2 linked regions of the Styela clava genome follow. The protein of the gene in region 1 interacts with the protein of each later gene in a biochemical or structural test. Links are inferred from orthologs where the notes say so. Each region holds a gene or a part of one and is shown in the gene's direction. Other genes may lie near its edges.

What was found.
Region 2: of the proteins of serine/threonine-protein kinase Chk2-like (region 1) and uncharacterized protein LOC120337247, one has a biochemical effect on the other in vitro, tested with the Homo sapiens proteins (2 studies listed by BioGRID, with this or other methods). The link is inferred for Styela clava from reciprocal best matches to the Homo sapiens genes CHEK2 and PPM1D.

What each region holds. Positions count from the first base shown.
Region 1 is NC_135252.1:13,799,694-13,808,624, reverse strand, and holds the start of serine/threonine-protein kinase Chk2-like, read left to right. Parts: upstream 1-5,179; 5' UTR 5,180-6,190; coding exon 6,191-6,393; intron 6,394-7,959; coding exon 7,960-8,072; intron 8,073-8,573; coding exon 8,574-8,698; intron 8,699-8,931. Other genes in the region: protein furry homolog-like, read left to right, coding at 1-4,084. UniProt on the Homo sapiens protein: Serine/threonine-protein kinase which is required for checkpoint-mediated cell cycle arrest, activation of DNA repair and apoptosis in response to the presence of DNA double-strand breaks.
Region 2 is NC_135259.1:13,993,399-14,002,634, forward strand, and holds the start of uncharacterized protein LOC120337247, read left to right. Parts: upstream 1-5,609; 5' UTR 5,610-5,651; coding exon 5,652-6,000; intron 6,001-6,926; coding exon 6,927-7,048; intron 7,049-8,263; coding exon 8,264-8,412; intron 8,413-8,822; coding exon 8,823-9,003; intron 9,004-9,236. Other genes in the region: CDP-diacylglycerol--inositol 3-phosphatidyltransferase-like, read left to right, coding at 3,351-4,016. UniProt on the Homo sapiens protein: Involved in the negative regulation of p53 expression. Required for the relief of p53-dependent checkpoint mediated cell cycle arrest.

The sequences.
Region 1 (8,931 bases):
TGCATTTGTGCAGAAAACAATTGAGCTATTTGAGCAACAAATACCCAGACTAAAGGTTAGGGAGAGACTTGGAAGTGAAGCGTCAAAGTTTGCAATTGCAACTTATAACAAGCACCATGCCAATCGATCTTTGCAGGTATTTCGTGCTTTGAAACTACCATTATCGCCAGTTTTCTTCAATAAATTAGTCCGTTGCCTTTTGAATCGGATTGTTTATGGTAATGATCAAGAAACACAATCACAAGTAATAGAAATTCTTGTAACTTTACTACATGATTGTGATATTTCATTGATTAGAAAAGAATCGTCTTCTGGTGAAGCCTCTTTTAGTAACACAACAGCAGCAGACTCAAGTTTAAATTCACAGCAGTCCCACTCTTTGCATGTTCATTCTGAGCAAATCAAAAAACCTAGGTCTCCAACACCAGGTCGTTTGCCGAATTACTCTGCTAGTCCAAATAGATCTGGTGCTGCTCCATTATCTTTGCCATCACAGAATGCAACAGCTCAACCAGAATCAACTATAAGAGGACGTAAACATGCACATCGCAGATCTGGTTCTGTAACTTTGTCGAAGAAAATGGTTGATGATATCATGCATTCATCTAGTGTACCAACAGCAGGTTTATGTCACAATTCTACTGAATCCGATGTGTCATCTGCAAACTCAGTCTCATCTCCACCTAAGGAGGCAGAATCATTTCAAGGAACAAAGTCAGGAAATTTGGAAAGAAAAGTTTCAGCTCAACTTAGTTTTCGTCGACCTGCGAGCACTGGTCATAGTATGTCAATGAATTCAGAAACTGGTGTAGGATTGTCATGCTATGTCAGACCCCACAGTTCGTCCAAGGAAAGGAAAATGACATTTGCTCAAATATTTTGGATTGGTGTTGCCTTGTTGGAATCGGATTATGAACACGAATTTCTCATTGCTGTTCAACTTATTGAGAAAGTACTTTCCCATTTGCCTTTACAAGAGGCGGAAAGTCGCTCACTAATAGAAAGATATGTTACTCAAATAAAGTGGACGTCTTTTCATGGAATTCAAAATATGCTTCTGAAAGGTCTTACGTCATCTGTCACCTACAATGCCACATTCAACATATTATCCTCATTTACTACTTTATCAAATTTTTCACTCATATCTGGCAAGGCAGATCAAGGTTGTGGCTTTTCAATGAATGTAATTTCGCTTCTGCCCCATTTATTGGACTGTTTTAATGACCCAGATCAAATGTGTTTAGATGCTGCACATAATGTAGCTCAAGTTTGTTTGGACAGTTTTCCACAAAAGAAAAAACTACAATCTCTTGCTCACGTAATGAGTCTTTACTGCAATCGCTCATATGGCAAACCCTGCTTGACTTGGATCAGCGTTGTATGCAAATATATTCATGAAACATTTCCTAATTCGATACGAGAACAATTGACATTTTTGATTGAATTGTTGGATAAAGGGCCAGTTTCTACTCATCTGTCATGTTTGAGGCTTATTTGTAGCATGTTATCCTTGTCGGAAATATTACTTTCAAACTCCCCTGAGGAAATTGACTTTACGCAGAGCATTTTACGTACTGTATCAAAGTTTGTTAACAGCACAAAACTATGGAAAGAGGCTTTAAATATTTTAAAACTGGCCGTATCTCGATCATCTGCAATCACCACGCCAACTGCTTCTGGGATGCTCCCAACAAGCTCTAGTTTGAGTGGTGATATGGATCGTCTTGAACTCCCGGGACGCACCTTAACTTTCCAATATAACCTTTCAAATACCCCAATTGTTGGACGACGACGTACAGATGAATCAATGGGTAAACGTCACCCACATTCGAGTTCTCCTTCTTACCACCCAAGCACTGCTTCATCAATTGTAACGAGTTGGAAAAGGCCTCACTTATCTCAAAAACGTACTTACGATAGTATTGTATGTGTTCTCCCTATATGTGGAAAACATCTACAAATGTCTCATGACCCGACACAAGAAGAAATGAACCAATATCACCAGTCACCTGATAGGCTGATGTCACCCACTCAAGATGAGGATGTCGATGGAAAATCTTACGACTCTAATGAGGATGAGAGTGAAAGTGATACGGAGAGTGATAAGAGTGGAAGTGGTATTGATGATATAAGAGTTTTACGGAATTTTGATTTTCTTGACGAGGAACTGGAGGACAATGAAGAAGGATTTGCACTACTTCAAAATCAATCTTCAACTCCCAGCGGTCAAGATAATGAAGCTGGTGTAACAGAAGAAGACCCCGACACTTATAATCTTACACCAATCGCCAATCATGACATGAGTCAAGATCTGGATCAAACTCCGACAGAAGAGGATGAGCTTACATCTCTACACAGTCAGGATGACGATGATTATAACCAAACACTTTCACTCACTTCTGGTGTTTTGTCGCAATCATGGAGTGGGACAAGAAGTATATTTACTGATGTTGAGACCACCGATACTCACTCCTCTATGATAATGATTTCTTCAATTGCAGAAAACGAGAAACAAAGAAAAAAGAACACGCCGCAATCGTCCGTAGAAAGCATTAACATCGCTGATTCTCCACAATTGTCACAAAAAACTCACTCCAGATCACTCACTCAAAGTGAGAGTGCTATACATCCAAAGTCAAATCTATCTTCTTCAGAATCGATGAAAACATCAGAATTTGAGAAATCGACCAACGATCAAGAAAATACTTCTGAGTCTTTGAGCAATTTAGATGAACTGGAAAACGATCTCACAAATAACAGCCCGATTTCATCATCTGAAGAACTTCAATTAGAAATGGATAAAACTGATACTTTAATTTCAAGTTTGACTAATTTAGGCACACCACCACCTCCAACCATTTCATCCTTGTCTCTACAATCCTTGCCTCATTCTGATGACACTCTTGGTCAGATAGATATTCCAATTGTGGAACCACCACCTACTAGCGACATCACTTCAAACTTGACTGCAATTCGTTTTGATTCACCTTCTCATTTCTTATCGCAGCTAACGGATTCTCCCGTCAAAACTTTACAACTTCCGAATGAGGTTTCTACTAGTTTTAAAGTAAAGGATGGAACCGCTTACCATGACACGACATATACAACATGGAAACTTCACATCGCTTCTATGGCAACATATAACGACTCTGCATTTATTTCAAAAACTTTTGATCTCTTTCCAATGCTTTTCAAAGTATTATGTATTGATTTCAGTAATTTAAGTAAAGATGGTTGTAAACATCTAGGTGGGCAATTATCTAGAATTGCAGAACATTTTAGTTCCATGGTCGAGCAACTGCCCTCACAAATAAAATGCCCAATTTGTCTCGCTACAAAAAGCGCTATTGAACCAGTGGTCGAACAAATGAAATTTGGTGTTTCAGAATTACAGGATCATTTAGATTCCTACAACGCAAAACAAAAAGCTGCATCAGAGTGTATGGACTTGATAAAAAGTCTTGAAAATGGTAACACAAAACAGATAAATACAAAATCTCAGGGGATTGAATACAAACAATTGGAACTCTGTCGAATGTTATACAAACTTCACTTTCAGCTTTTGCTACTTTTGAAAAGCTTTAACAAGCTGATAAACTTGGTATCACTGAGTACCGTCGAAACGAAAAATATTACTGAACAACTCGGAATGCTAAAAAAGAAAATCCTAGTTGTTGAGAAAACTTTTCAAGCACATAGAGATAAAACAGACATAGAGATGTTGCATGATTTAAAATCTATGACAGTGGAAGAAGCAGAACAAGTACTTCAATCTAGTATTTCTAGCGAACAAGTACATCTGGCAATACGTCAGTTATTTCTACTTCGGACCCTTTGGGTGCCTGAGGCGTTCGGAGCTATTGATGAACCCGCAGCTGATATTCTTATCAAAATTTATTTCAAACATCTAGAAGATAAAAGCTCGGAAAAGTTTTTTGCTATAATCGGACCTGAGAATAGTTCGCATAATATGTGTGAAAAATTAATGATGGTGAACAGCGAGATTCAACAATCATTGGACTCACTCGCAGTTAATGCAGGAGATATTGATAAGTCTTCAACTACTAAGAAAACACATTTGTGAATTCCCAATATATATTGAATAAACAGGCCAAGAAATATAATGAAAAAATACGCTATTGAAATAGTAAATTTCTGTGACTTTAAAACTGTAGTCTCGACTCATATGTGCCTCAATTGAGTATGATTGCATGTTGTCTATCAGCCTTGAAACATAATTCCACACTAGATATTTACAGTTTAATAGATTATATCGTTTTTGATGCTCTCGCCTTATTAACGATTCTGATTTACTGGATTTTCATGTGCTTTAACCTATATACAGGGATACATTTCATTTATAAATTTTCCAACAACTTTTAGATTAAAATATTTGCAAATTTATTTTTTATTTAATTTAGTGTGTCACCTAACCAAACAGTTTGTAAAGCACTGGTTTATTCAATTAGACTTCTGGACGGTGATCCTTTAATAGCATTTTTTGTAATTTTCTGGTTATTTGATATTTGGATTAATTGACATTGGAATCATTTGTAACTTTTTGTGCTTTTTTGGTAGCATTGTTTAGTGGGATTGAGAATTCTATATCTGGTGTATTTTTAACTTATAGTCGTATGTTTGTTCTTTGGAATTAGTATTGCATGTGCAGTTAAGTAAGGTTGTTTAATTCACTACTTTATTACTTTAGTCAACTTTTAATATTCATGACGGGATGACGTAAATGAATAGCTCTAATTTTTGCCAGAACAAATTGTTCATATTTATAACTTTAGTATGAGAATTTGCTGCTAGGACATTTATTATTTTTTTCAAGTGATTGCTATGTAGGCCTACTATTTCAGATTACAAGAAATTTTTGTCTATGAATTTTCGAGTAGTAGCTATAGTCATTTTAAATATTGAATATAATTAGACTAACAAAAAAAGCACTCATCTTTAGCAAACTAATTAAAAATTTTATTTCAATACCTTGTTAATTAATGAGGTTTGCTTTATTGTATATGTTCCACTTCTTTGTTAAAAATTTACTTTCAATGTCCTGTTATGAGTGTTATTACCTATCTTTGTCATGTCTATTTCCTTACTTTCATCCATTATCATTCTATTTTCTTTTATTATATTCATGAACATTTTGTAAAGTGAGGCGACAGTTTTGAATTTTTTTTTTTTGGTCCAAGACTTTTATCTCGCTACCAGGGCCGCGGAGTTGGTTCGAAAATTAAAAGTTTGAAAAAATTATAAATTGGTTAGGAGCTGTAGCTAATAAAATTTCTGGTAGTTCCAGATTTAACGAAACTCATGGCTCCATGCTCAAGTTTCCCAGCCTTTCTCGCTACTACTCAGAATTCCCCTCAATTCCATTTTTCATGGGAAGGCTCTTGAAAGCTTTATACTAGATTAAAATTTTGTACGATTATTGTACATTTTCACCATCAATGTTGACATTATGTTCTAAAACATAGTCTCTGTTCTCTGCATTAGTTTCCTGCTATTCTGAATATTCTTTCAATCAACTTTCGAATACTATTCTACGTTTGCATCCACATAAAATTAATGTTATAAACAGTGCCTGCTTTCAGTGTTAACTTATACTCATAGAGCCATTATATTGTAATAATCATTTAATGACAAAATGTAATGAATTACTATTACTGTCAATTTGCAAATATTAATTCACAAATTTTTATATGTACCTTTTAGTATTACATATAGCCCCAGTAGAGGAAAGCACAAAATAGACTTGTAAAGCACAAATAGGCGTGTTGTGGACCACACCCTTCAATTCTAGTCCATTTGCAAATGATAACATTTACCAAGGTAAATAGTTATTGCTGGTAGGAGACTGTAATTTATCAGCAGTTACTGAAACCACTCTATTAATCTTCTTGTACACAGTTATACCCGAGTTTGAATCATCATATTAGCCATTTGAATACTACTGTATATTTTGTGTGTGTCAAAATTGCAAACTTTGCATTTTCATTTTTCAAATTGTTCCCTTTCCGTTCAGTTCGCATCGCACAGCCTTTCATTTTATACTGCTTGTCAGCTCATTTATCTCACAATATATCTTGGCAGTATATTTGTTAACTTTATTTTGTTCTCTATTCACATGTTTAAAATAATCAAAAATGAATTTACGATTGGAATATGATTGGATAACATATATATGTATATTCTTCACTGTGAATTTTATAAAGAAGGATTAAAAAAAATGAATGAAAACCAGAACTCAAATGTTGGTCAAAATGGGAAAGAAGAAAAGCCTCAAAGTTCTGGTGTGAGCGGCAGCCAAGCAAATCAACAAAGTAGTAGCAGCAGTGGACAAACTGGTACTTCATCATCGAGTGGAACTGCAAATACTGTTTCCAGGTGACTAAAACAACTTTTAGGTTTTAATTCTCTGATTAGTGCTTGAATTCAAAGTCTAATATGTAAAGTTTTCACTGGAGCTGGAGTCATATATTCAAATTCTAAAATCTCTAAAGTTGGACTTTCAATGAGAGTGAACAAAGTCAAAATACTCGCAGAAACCCAGAAAGCATTAGGTTTACTAAGCGTTCTTATTAACAGTCTTTTAACCAAAGGTTTTGGGTTTTTTGAGCTGGATCATAATCTCATAAACGTCCGGGATTGAAGGTTGGGATTTTTGTCAACTTAGACCCCACGTTAAATTCTTTTTTTAAATGGCACTATAGTTGATTATAAATTTTCCCACTCGACATCTCGAATGAATATACCCTACATGTTATATTTATCTTTCATTATTATTTTTATCATGCTATTGAAATAGGACAAGCTCAACCCTTAGGGCCCTAGAAAAGTCTAACATTTTTCATTTTTCTTTATATATTTCAAGTATTCATGTGCCAAGTCTTTGAAAATCTGGTGTTTCTTAGCTACTGCTTCCAACACTATCCAGTCTATCTGTGTGTTCATATATCTGAACAACTCAAAGCTTGGATTTTTTACTTTGTTAATTCCATGTCAAAATATGAAAAAATTTACAATATGTTCAAATTGTTATAAATAGGCCATAAGAATATTTTTGAAAACCTTAATCAGTATATATAACTCATAAGTATAGATATGCTTGGAATGCGGGGATGTGTACTCCTAATCCACTTTTAAGTCAGCTCAACCAGCCTTCATTGTTCCTGGTAGTGCGTTACAAAAGTGGTATAGTAATGCGGATGAAAATATAAAGATGTGTCTTAAAATTTGTTTTAAATTTTAAGCCATTTCTGTTTCTTACGCATTGTTAATGAGAGTGGATGGACTCTTTTCTGTATTGCCTGTCCTAGTCTGACAACATACAAATTTAAAAATGGAGTATATTGATTGAGAGTTTTCACATAATATAAGATATTCACTGATATAAGAAAGAGTTCATATATTGTATTTATGGCTCCTTTGACCAAATTCTTAGTTATCATGATGTCTATGTCTAGGGATATTCAAAACAAATGGAAAATTTAGGAAATTGAAAAATCAAAAAACAGCTTTAATTGATTTCGAAAATAAAGAACAAATCTAATCATTTTTTTGTTATGACTCTCCTGCATTATCAATTTGAAATTCTTTGAATAAACATAAACTTCTACATATTATCTGTTCTACATGACCCTATTTGAATTATTCTATAGGCTATTTATTCCATATTTGAAATTATTATTCAGGAAATTTTTCGGAATACTATAATATTTGGTTTTTGCCATTCCAGACTGTGCTAACGTTAATTGTTGATATTTAGTATACTAATCAAGTCTGGTATATCTCTCTTTGGTTTAATTTTTATTGATATGTAGAAGCCTACGGTAAATTTTTTTTTAATTTCATAATCAAAACAGGTCTGTTTTATCCATTGAGATTTGTTGAATTTTCTTGGTCTCTTATTCCTTTTAAATATTATTAACCCTAATTTATTTCCTTGTTCAGTGCTGAAACAGTGCCAACACAGGAACCAGCCTCTGTGTCAGATGAAGGTGCAGATGCAGATGAACCTTCATGGGGTGTTTTATATCCAATTGATAGATGCTTTTATCCTTTTGGTTAGTAAACTATTTTACTTCTTCTTCGTACTAATCTTGGACATATTTATGTATTGACAACAAAAATCAACTATAATATATATTGACCTTTCAATGGCAACTTAATGCTGTCAATAAAGACGTATCTATAATCTTTGAAAAGTCCGGAATTTTTTTGTTTTGGTACTGTCAGCCTAATTTATTAATGCCTGGGTGTGATGATATTGATGGCCATGGTGTTTGAACCCTAAATTTTCAATCTGCCATACCAACATGATTAGGTCTAATATACGTTCGTAATTACTGATTCATCATGGCCAATTTTCTAATAATAAAACATCAGTGATACTAAAGGGGTATTGGCAGTTAGTCTGTTATCAGTGTATAGACGACTAGGTCAAAAACAGTCTGGTCAGAGGAAAATTTAGCGCTCTTGTTTTCCTATAGCAGAGACCTTGTAAGAGTTTGTAATACTTTTCTTATGGCCTATTCATAATGTTTCTTTCCCCATTTTATTTTCAGACCTACGGGAAGATATATATACATTTGGTCGAGGACAGGATTGTACTTATACGTTTGATATTCCTTCAATAAAACAGACACAACATTTTACCACATATAGCAAAAAACATTTCACAATCACAAGGGTAGGTTTTTGTAAGTACTTTTTATTTTAGTCAGAAGTTCGAGTTTATTTTTGCCGCCTACTTGTTTAAATAGTAGGCCTATTTTAAAAGTGTCAAAGTTTTTGTTTTTTTTGGTAAAGTTGACTATGCTGTTTAGTATTTAATTTATTATTAATGAGTTATTTTTTGAATTAGTATGAAACTGGGTATGTATTAAAAATTTATTCTACCTGACATTTTAACCAGGCGAAAGG
Region 2 (9,236 bases), on another chromosome or scaffold:
ATTGTCTTGAAGGAAAAACCATATCCTACGCTTATACTATACATCTGAAGTGAACTATTTTTTGCTGCGCTGTATCTCCTGCATTTCACAGAAGATACCATTTTACAATTCGCTGTAATGAAAGTTGGACTTGATTGATCCTCTATATCAGAACACCTATCATGATTGGAAAAGCAATGATCAGTTGGATGGAGTTCATTGATGCTTTGCTACTTGCAGCAGTAGATGCTGAATAATGATTCAAAGTTGAATAATTCTGAATGTCCTCCGCGTATTCTGGTTTACAGTGTTCATCTTTGATTTATTTTATAAAAGTGTAATGTTGAATAAAAAAAACTATCTTTCCAAAATCTGTTGCGCATTGAATATTCATTCAACTCATTGGGAATTGAAAGAGAATTCAAAAACATTTAACAACGGGCATTTTAGTTTATTATCAATGCATAACAGTATCAATATATTTATAAAATCAGAACCATAAACTTTGGTCCCGAAAAGCATATGCTGTATTATTTTACATGATCCAATCTTAAGCTCGAATTTGAGAAGATTGCATTTTTTTTTGTACCATGAACATTGTTTCTCGAAACTTTATTATTTGCTAATTTATATTGACTTAAATAAACGTTGCTTTTAGTCTTGCACCATTTACATATAATGTTGTTGTGTATTCCACAACTTGAATTATCCACTTTCACTTAATTTATCCTCCAATTACTGAAAGATATGTAGAATTCGGCTAATACCACATTTGCCTATGACTTGATCTTCGTACTGTCTGTCTCTACTCTTCTGTCTCTGTAAGTTGTTAGCTACTTTGAAAACCCTCTCAAGTAAATAATGATAAATTAAACTATCACTGGAATTCTGATCTGCTATTCGTTTAACTTTTGAGCATTATAACCTGCTTAGTTAGACAAATAGATCTGTGCAACAAATTTTCTCAACAAATTATCGGATATATATTTTTTTTTTCATTAAAATTAGAAAAAGAAGTACGAAGCACATTGCAAGATAGCATTTCGTGCTGAACAATAAAAAATATGTCACCTACTCAATTGTGGTGAAATAAACATTTTACACTATTCTATCGCTGTAAAATCGCTGCTGTGAACATTCATGGATACAACAATTTACAAGTAGAATTAGTAACAATTTATACATTCGGTTTTATTGCACAAACTTGAATGCATAAAACCATTTTATAAGTATGCATTTTAATAATATTATTATTAGTTAAACAAACGCGAAATTAGAAACAGTTCAAGTGGAGGATGTTTGTAAAACAGTTAATGACATTCAAATGGACCTTCATAAAAGATTTATTCAGCTTGAAATTTGTTTGAGACAATCATATATAAAATCACATATAAAATATAAGAGCGTGATGAAGATGAATCACTATATGTTTATTCCATTGGATAGGATATACACATTTTTCCCGGGGAGAGGAGAGCCGATAAGACGGCTTATCCATATGACGAACCGCGGCCTCTCGTCCGGTTACCATTCCAAGTCGGGTATGGGATTAGTTATATTGTTTGTTTTCGGGAGCATGGACTTGGTGGTGGAGGGAGCCGTAACCGACCAGCGGTTACGCGAACCACCCAACGACGGCGAGGAGTCCAGCAATCCTCTCGCACATAACCATCTCCACATCGGATTCGAACCTGCGAACCCACGCAGAGTAATTAGAGGTGCGGTGGCGAGCGTATTCCTAACGCTTAACCCGTTGAGCCACACCGCCGTGCCATTCCCTAACTTTAAAATACGAAGATAACTTTCGAAGTAAGATTTGTTGAATCGCATATGTTATATCTTATGACTTATGGGATTAGCCAGGTATTTGTTTCAGATACATGGATTTGTTGGTAGAGGAAGCTGTAACCGACCTGTGGTTACGTATACCATCCCACGGCGGTGGCAGCAATCCTCTCACACATAATTATCCTCCACGGAATCAAACGTTAGAACCCATGAAAGTAATTTAATTTGAATGAGTTGCAATATCAGTTTTAAAATAAATAATGATTGAGCGTATAAAACTGGTACGTAATTATGGGCAAAATATCCTAGGATGTAGCAATTAGGACATTTAATCATCCAAACAGTGGCCATCTGATTTGATTCTCAACAAACCAGACATAAAATCTTCCTGGTTTTTAATTGTTCAGTATCCATTTTATGATTCGTCACGAACAGCTGATTAATTATCTTGTGTTACGCAACAATTTCTTTTAAATTTAAATACCCAACGGATGCATAATTTTCTTTGTTGCGTCACAAATAAATTACAAAATAATATCCACTTGGGGCGCTCCTGCTCTTCAAACAGACGTTGCTGGTTGCGCCTTTTAGTCTTTGTGTTTGAATTCTGGACTTTGTTTATTTTTTGCTCTACGATAAGTTGTAATTGTGACTATACGCTGTTGTATTTTATCGCCCTTCATGTGTTCGGCAGTGCTACAATACAATTTTTATATGGGTAATGTATATTTATTTTCTCCTATCGGAAATCAGACCATGCAATAATATTCTGAAACTTCCACAGCGATCAATTATTTTAACTGAAATTGGAATTAACAGGCAAAAATAATAATCGACAGGAATGAATTTCACAATTTAGCTTTGTTAATAGTCTGGAAAACATTATAGACTAACCTACAATCTTATGTCAGTATTTATTTTACGGCATACCCAGATATTGCTCCTCGTTTTACCCATTTTACAGTCTTAATGCTGTAATGTCACCGTCAGACGGTGTTTTTTTCATATATCAGCATATCAACACAGTCAGACAGTCATGGAATCTTCAGATCTTATGTGTCTGTGTGTGCCGTACTGTAATAAATTATATGTTCGCTCTTTGTATACATACTGAAAATACAGAAATATGTCCTTACATGCAGACAAATTCTGCAGTCATTCTTCTGTTCTCCAACACAGCGCAATATTTTTTAATGTCGTAGTCAGATAGTAGGGTAGGTAGATAATTTGCATCCGGGTACAGAGGTAGCAAATTTTAAGAGTTGTTCTTTTCATATGCCCCTATGCAGCTATGCCTGTATGCAGATATGGCTGAATGGTATAGGCTGGGATGGTCAGCTAATTTGCACTTTGAATCTGTGAATGTTTTACAAATAAAAGTATTACAGTATTATAATACTTCATTCGAAAAAATACCCTTTTATCAATTACTGAATTATTACTATGGTTGTTGGACAATTACAGAATTATCAATCATCTCTTTTATGTAGTATATATGATATCATTTTTGAACAGTTAAGCACTTTTAAATTTCATAAGTATTTCAATTGCCTTCACAGATTATAAATTATTCGTAGATCAAAATGACTAAAAAGATAGTTACTGCACATGATATTTTTATGTTTGTACCCAATCTGATTGGCTATGGGAGAATCGTGCTTGCTATAGTAGCATTCTACTTTATCAAAACAAATTATATTATTGCTGCCGCGTGTTATATTCTCAGTGGATTCCTAGATGCATTTGATGGTCATGCAGCTCGTCTTCTTAATCAAGGAACAAAGTTTGGTGCAATGTTGGATCAGTTGACGGACCGTGCGGCCACAGCTTGTTTATGTGTGGCACTTGCTACATTTTACCCTCAATATATGTTCTGGTTTCAAATGAGCTTAGCACTTGATATTGTAAGCCATTGGATGCACTTGCATGTTTCTCAGCTTGGAGGAACAAGTCACAAAAGCATTGGTTTAGAGGGGAACCCGATCATGCGGCTGTACTACACATCCCGGCCTGTATTGTTTGCAATGTGCAGTGGAAATGAATTATTCTTTGCCATGCTGTATCTCTTGCATTTCACTGAAGGCCCGTTGATAGAATTCGCTGGATTGAATCTCGGTCTTGTCCGATTGGTTCTTTACCTCAGTACACCCATCATGATCGGAAAAGCAGTGATCAGTTTGATACATTTGGTTGATGCTTCGCGAAGACTTGCAGAAGTGGATGCTGAAGAACGATCCAAAGCTGAATAGTTTGAAATAGGTTTGCTTATTCTGGTTTACTGTGTTGAAATCTTCAATGTATAAGAGTGCAATATTGATTGAAAAATTTGCGTTCAGGCAATTTGAAATTGGTTAATTCGGAGATGGACTGACATGACGTGTTGGAGCTGGGAAGCAATTTCAGTATAAAAATTTCTTTCAATCGAATCTGTATTTTTAAGTATGATTTATTATAGTAGCTCTATTGCCTCTGTATTTGTTCAGCAATTTCAGCAAAAAATAATTCGTTTATCGAATCTGTATTTTTAAGTATGATTTTATTATAGTCGCTATATTGCCTCTGAAATTTGTTATATCATTGCACAATGAATAATGGATCCCCGTTTTTTATTCTGCTATTTATTTAGATGATTGGTGGTTATAAACTGATTCATTATACAGCAAAATGATTCGTAATAATCAAAAATAATTTGTAAATTTAACTTATTAAATTAACATTTCAACTGATTTAAATTAACACTATAATTGGTTTATATATATATTGAGATCTTCAGATATAAAAGTAGGCACTGTGCGAATAACTGATTGAAACAAGAACATGTTTTAGTTTTTCAAACTAGAATGAATATTTCTGGTATAATATTTGTTTGAATTTGAACATTATAGAATCTTCCATAATATTTTGTAATTTAAATCTAAAAAACTTCCATTTACCTGAGCAAAATATTGTGCATAAAGTTTTCATTTTTGCACCTTCGTGGTAGGTATTGTTATAATATACATCTACTTTGTATTCTTCGTGCAGGAAGTCTTCGTTTATTCTACTCCTGTACATTACTACTCAACTATGCTATCATAATAAATACTGACATATTCGCGGGCTGTAAAGTTGTATTATACGTGTATCTGTTTGTGTTTATTTTTTTTGTTGTTTCTTAATCATGTAAAAAAATAGGACAAAATAATTAATTTTATATGGTATTTGAAATACAAATTACGTGCATAGATGGCAAAAACTGAAAAATTTGAATGTTTTGGAATTTTTGATAAAATATTTGTATACAGAATATGCTCTTATTAGATCATGTACCATTTTTAGTTATAGATACCATAGTTTCTATTTTCACAAGCATTTTGTGCTAAGCAAATCTCAGTTTCATTGGTAAAACTTTCTAAAGTTAATTTTTTTTGTTTAAATTTAAAAAAAATTCAGTGCATAATTTTTGCATATTCAAATATTTCATTTCATTTGGACATCTCCAGGTACTTTTATTTAAAAGATATATATATTTTAAGATCAAATATTTTTTCTCGAATTTTTTGAGATATGGCGAAATAACTTATTTTGGAAAATGTGATAGATTTCAGTTCCCGAAGCCTTGCTTTGAACAAACACCGAAATATTCTAGTCTACCTTTTTGTAACCTTTGTTTCAACATACTGTAATTTCTTCATTTTTGCTATATTTATTATTCTTTATGTTCGAGCAGTTGTTTTAACTTCTGTAGGTCAGATTGGTCCAGTTCCTATTATGTAGATGGGACAGCTCTTTTAGGTAAAAAATTCAAAACCTGAAAAAAAAATTTGTAATTTTTTCCATAATTATGTTTAATTTGTTTTATTTTATGTATGCAAATATCAAGCTAATGTAATCTGCTGTCTACCATGTCTCCCACAAATTGTTGGAATTTACGAGTGACTGCTGAGGTGAATCAAGGAGGAAGGAGATACATGGAAGATGTGACGGCAGTGCAATTCGAACGTGCAAAACAAAACAAAAAAGTTGTGGAATATGCCGCATTTGCTATATTTGATGGACATGGCGGCAAAGAAGCCGCACATTTTGCCAGAGACAATATTTTAGACAATATTAAATGTCAAAAAGGATTTTTTTCTAAAGATGTTGAACAAGTTAAGAAGTCAATAAAAGACGGATTTATCGCAACACATCACCAAATGTGGCAACATTTACCCACATGGCCAAAGACGTATAACGGACATCCCAGTACAGCAGGTTTGTAACATACCCCATAAATAGGAATCAATATCATGTTTGAATATTTCAATCATTATCATAGTTATTCATTATAACAAATGTCTTATCAATAACTTATGACTTAGCTGCATGCCAATGGGAAATTTATTTATAAATATTCAACAATAGAATGCGTGATTTAAAATCAGTATTATCGAACATATATGCTATTGATGCAACATGCTTTAAAAGTCAACTAATCAATAGTATTGATGTTTGATATGTTTAGTTACATAATTGTTATCTATGCAGGATGGCCAAAACAGAACCAAGTCTTTTGGAGCTTTCTAGAGAGACATAACTTTTGTGTCAAACGTCGTGAATTACTGAAACCTCTGGGTAGCCTACAATTTTATACACACAAGAGAATGTTGAATAAATTGTCTTCATGTTCTTAGAAGTTATTAAAAAATTTATGGGTTCCATTTCTGGGGCCACCCTGTGGTATTGCTTGTTGTCTCTGAGAACAGATGACCAAATATTTACCACTACTCACTGGAATATGTACAGCATCGAAATATCCTTATTTCACCAATCTGAGAATTATAAATCATGAATAAGGATGTTTAAATAATCTGATATGCTGGAAATATCCAATTAATTTCGGATGTCCATAGACCGTATGTGTAAATTTTTGTGGTTTAATTCATGTAAAATGACTAAATTTTACATAGAAACTAGCTATTTTTATATTCTGTTATCTTTTAATGTTGGTACATCTAGAATTAAATAAAAAATTCAATTAGGAAAAAAATATGTATTGTTCACAACTTGCAAGCCAGAAATAATTACTAAGTTAACTAAATCATTTTATACCAGCTGCCAATGTGGTATAGCTTATATTATATTGTGAGAAATTCTTCATCATATTAAAATATTGTGATACCTGCTTTTTTTGTTTTTAGGTACAACTGTTAGTCTGGTCCTTATCCGAGGAAACAAGATGTACGTTGCTAATGTTGGTGATTCAATGGTAGTCATGGGAACAAGAGAATATCGCTTCAAAAATAATGCCAGGGCTTTTCAGGTAAATTATTATTTTTCACAAAAACTTGCTGTTATGTTGACTTTTATACTATTAGCTTATATAGTTTCAGCCAAACTTACGTCTACTAATAAAATATACAGAAGTGATTCTAGTTAATATTGTTTATAGGGTGGTCATCAACAGATTATCTTTGTACATATTTCAAGATTTCTCGTTTCTGTTTATGATATACCAAAGAATTTGTTTATTTAGCACTTCAAAAATATTAATACTTTGATGGGTCATTCAAAGCTAACCTATACTAGTGTTGCATTACAATGTCGATGCTTTTTGTCATCGTATTAGAACCTTTGTTGACTGTGTGCCTACCTCTGTATACCATTACAGCTGTGTGGTGTAATTTAGTCAATTATTCTGTATATTGTGTAAAGAGAAAAGATGTCAATATACGATACTCCCATTTCACAAACCATTGCTCAAATTTAATAAGCAATTAGGCTGAGTCTGTATTGCAATTGCTTTATGTTTTGTTTAGTTTCTATTCTTAATTTACCATTTATACAAAACAATTTTATCAGAATGTTATATTTTTTTTATCTCGATGGTATTAGTATATTCTTGAATTGAGTGTTCATTTAGTTCAATATTTTCATTATTTCGTGGAGTTTTGGAATTTGCCACCTTCAATATTAAATCCAGTAGCTATGTACACTGAAACTTCATTTACTTATTAGGGATAGGTCACACTTCACTTGCACTCAATCAGAGTCATATCTGAGCAAATTTATGAGCAACCACTGAAACGCCAAGACCCACGAAAACGATCCTGGTGCCAATACACTCACACTTACCAATACTATACTGATTGGCAGAAGTATTGAAGCAGTTCAGGTCCATAACAATCAGTAAAAATGCTCTAAATGGTTCTGTTTTCCCAAATACTTATCACAGTTCATTTTGATTTAAAATTTTCGAATATTGTCCATAAGTCTTACACCCATGCAGATAGAGCAAAACCGTATTACGGACTTACAGTATTTCCGGAAATATGCCAATAGCTATGTGAATGATTGTGAAAAAATTAGTTGAGCAATGCTGAACTAGGAAGATACTAATCTTTTTATAATAGTTACTCCTTAAGTTATCAGTGGCTTTTTAATTAAAAGAACTTTATTCAGAAAGTGGGAAGGAAAACACCTCATAAATATGATGGTGCTATGTGCTGGTGATATCATTATATCATATCTATTCCAGGCTATGGAGCTGACCGTTGATCATAAACCTGAATTACCAGAAGAAAAAAAAAGAATTGAACACTGTGGAGGATGTGTTATGAATAAAGCTGGAGTAAATAGAGTCGTATGGAACAGACCTAAAATAACACACAGTGGTCCAATCAGAAGGTAAAACATTTACGATAAATATTATGGTGCAATGAGCCGAAATAAAAATAATGAACTTTTATAATCTCATACATTATTTTTCATTACTTTGTGTTGTTAAATACATGGAAAATCCCTGATATATACCAACTTTCACAATGCAAACAATCGTATCAGATGCATTTCAGTGAAATATCAGTATTTTGTGTTGTTAATTACGGTTGCTGAACTGTAGTATATACCAACTCTCACAATGCTAACATAGTATAATTTGTATTGAAAAATGACAAATTTTCCTTTTTCTAGAAATATATTTTATCAAAATTTATTTTTTAATATATTTCCTTCCAATTTCAGCTTGTAATACTAGTCAAGTAATTTTCAATAAGCTCAATGATCCCCCTTGTTATGTATTGTTATTTCTTGTTTAGAAGCACAAAACTTGACAGAATACCATTTCTTGCAATTGCACGTTCACTCGGTGATTTATGGAGCTTCAATTCAGAATTAAATGAATTTATAGTATCGCCAGTACCTGATGTGCATTGCTATGACTTAGTTGATGGAAGAGAACAATTTATTGTACTTGCAAGTGACGGACTTTGGAATATGGTAAATTTTGTATGAAGTTTACATCGATTCTGATGTGTTTCGGTAGAATATTAAAAAAGGCAGTTTTTTATCTGATGTGAATGAAGGAATTCTTTATCGTTTGTCCAAGGTATATTTGTGCAAGCACACATATTTTTATTAAAATGACAGTTTGTAATTCGCAGTTGACACAGCTTGCTCTAAACTCGGCTCTGGACGAGTTGTATCTCAAACGTGATAAGTTCGGTCGAGCT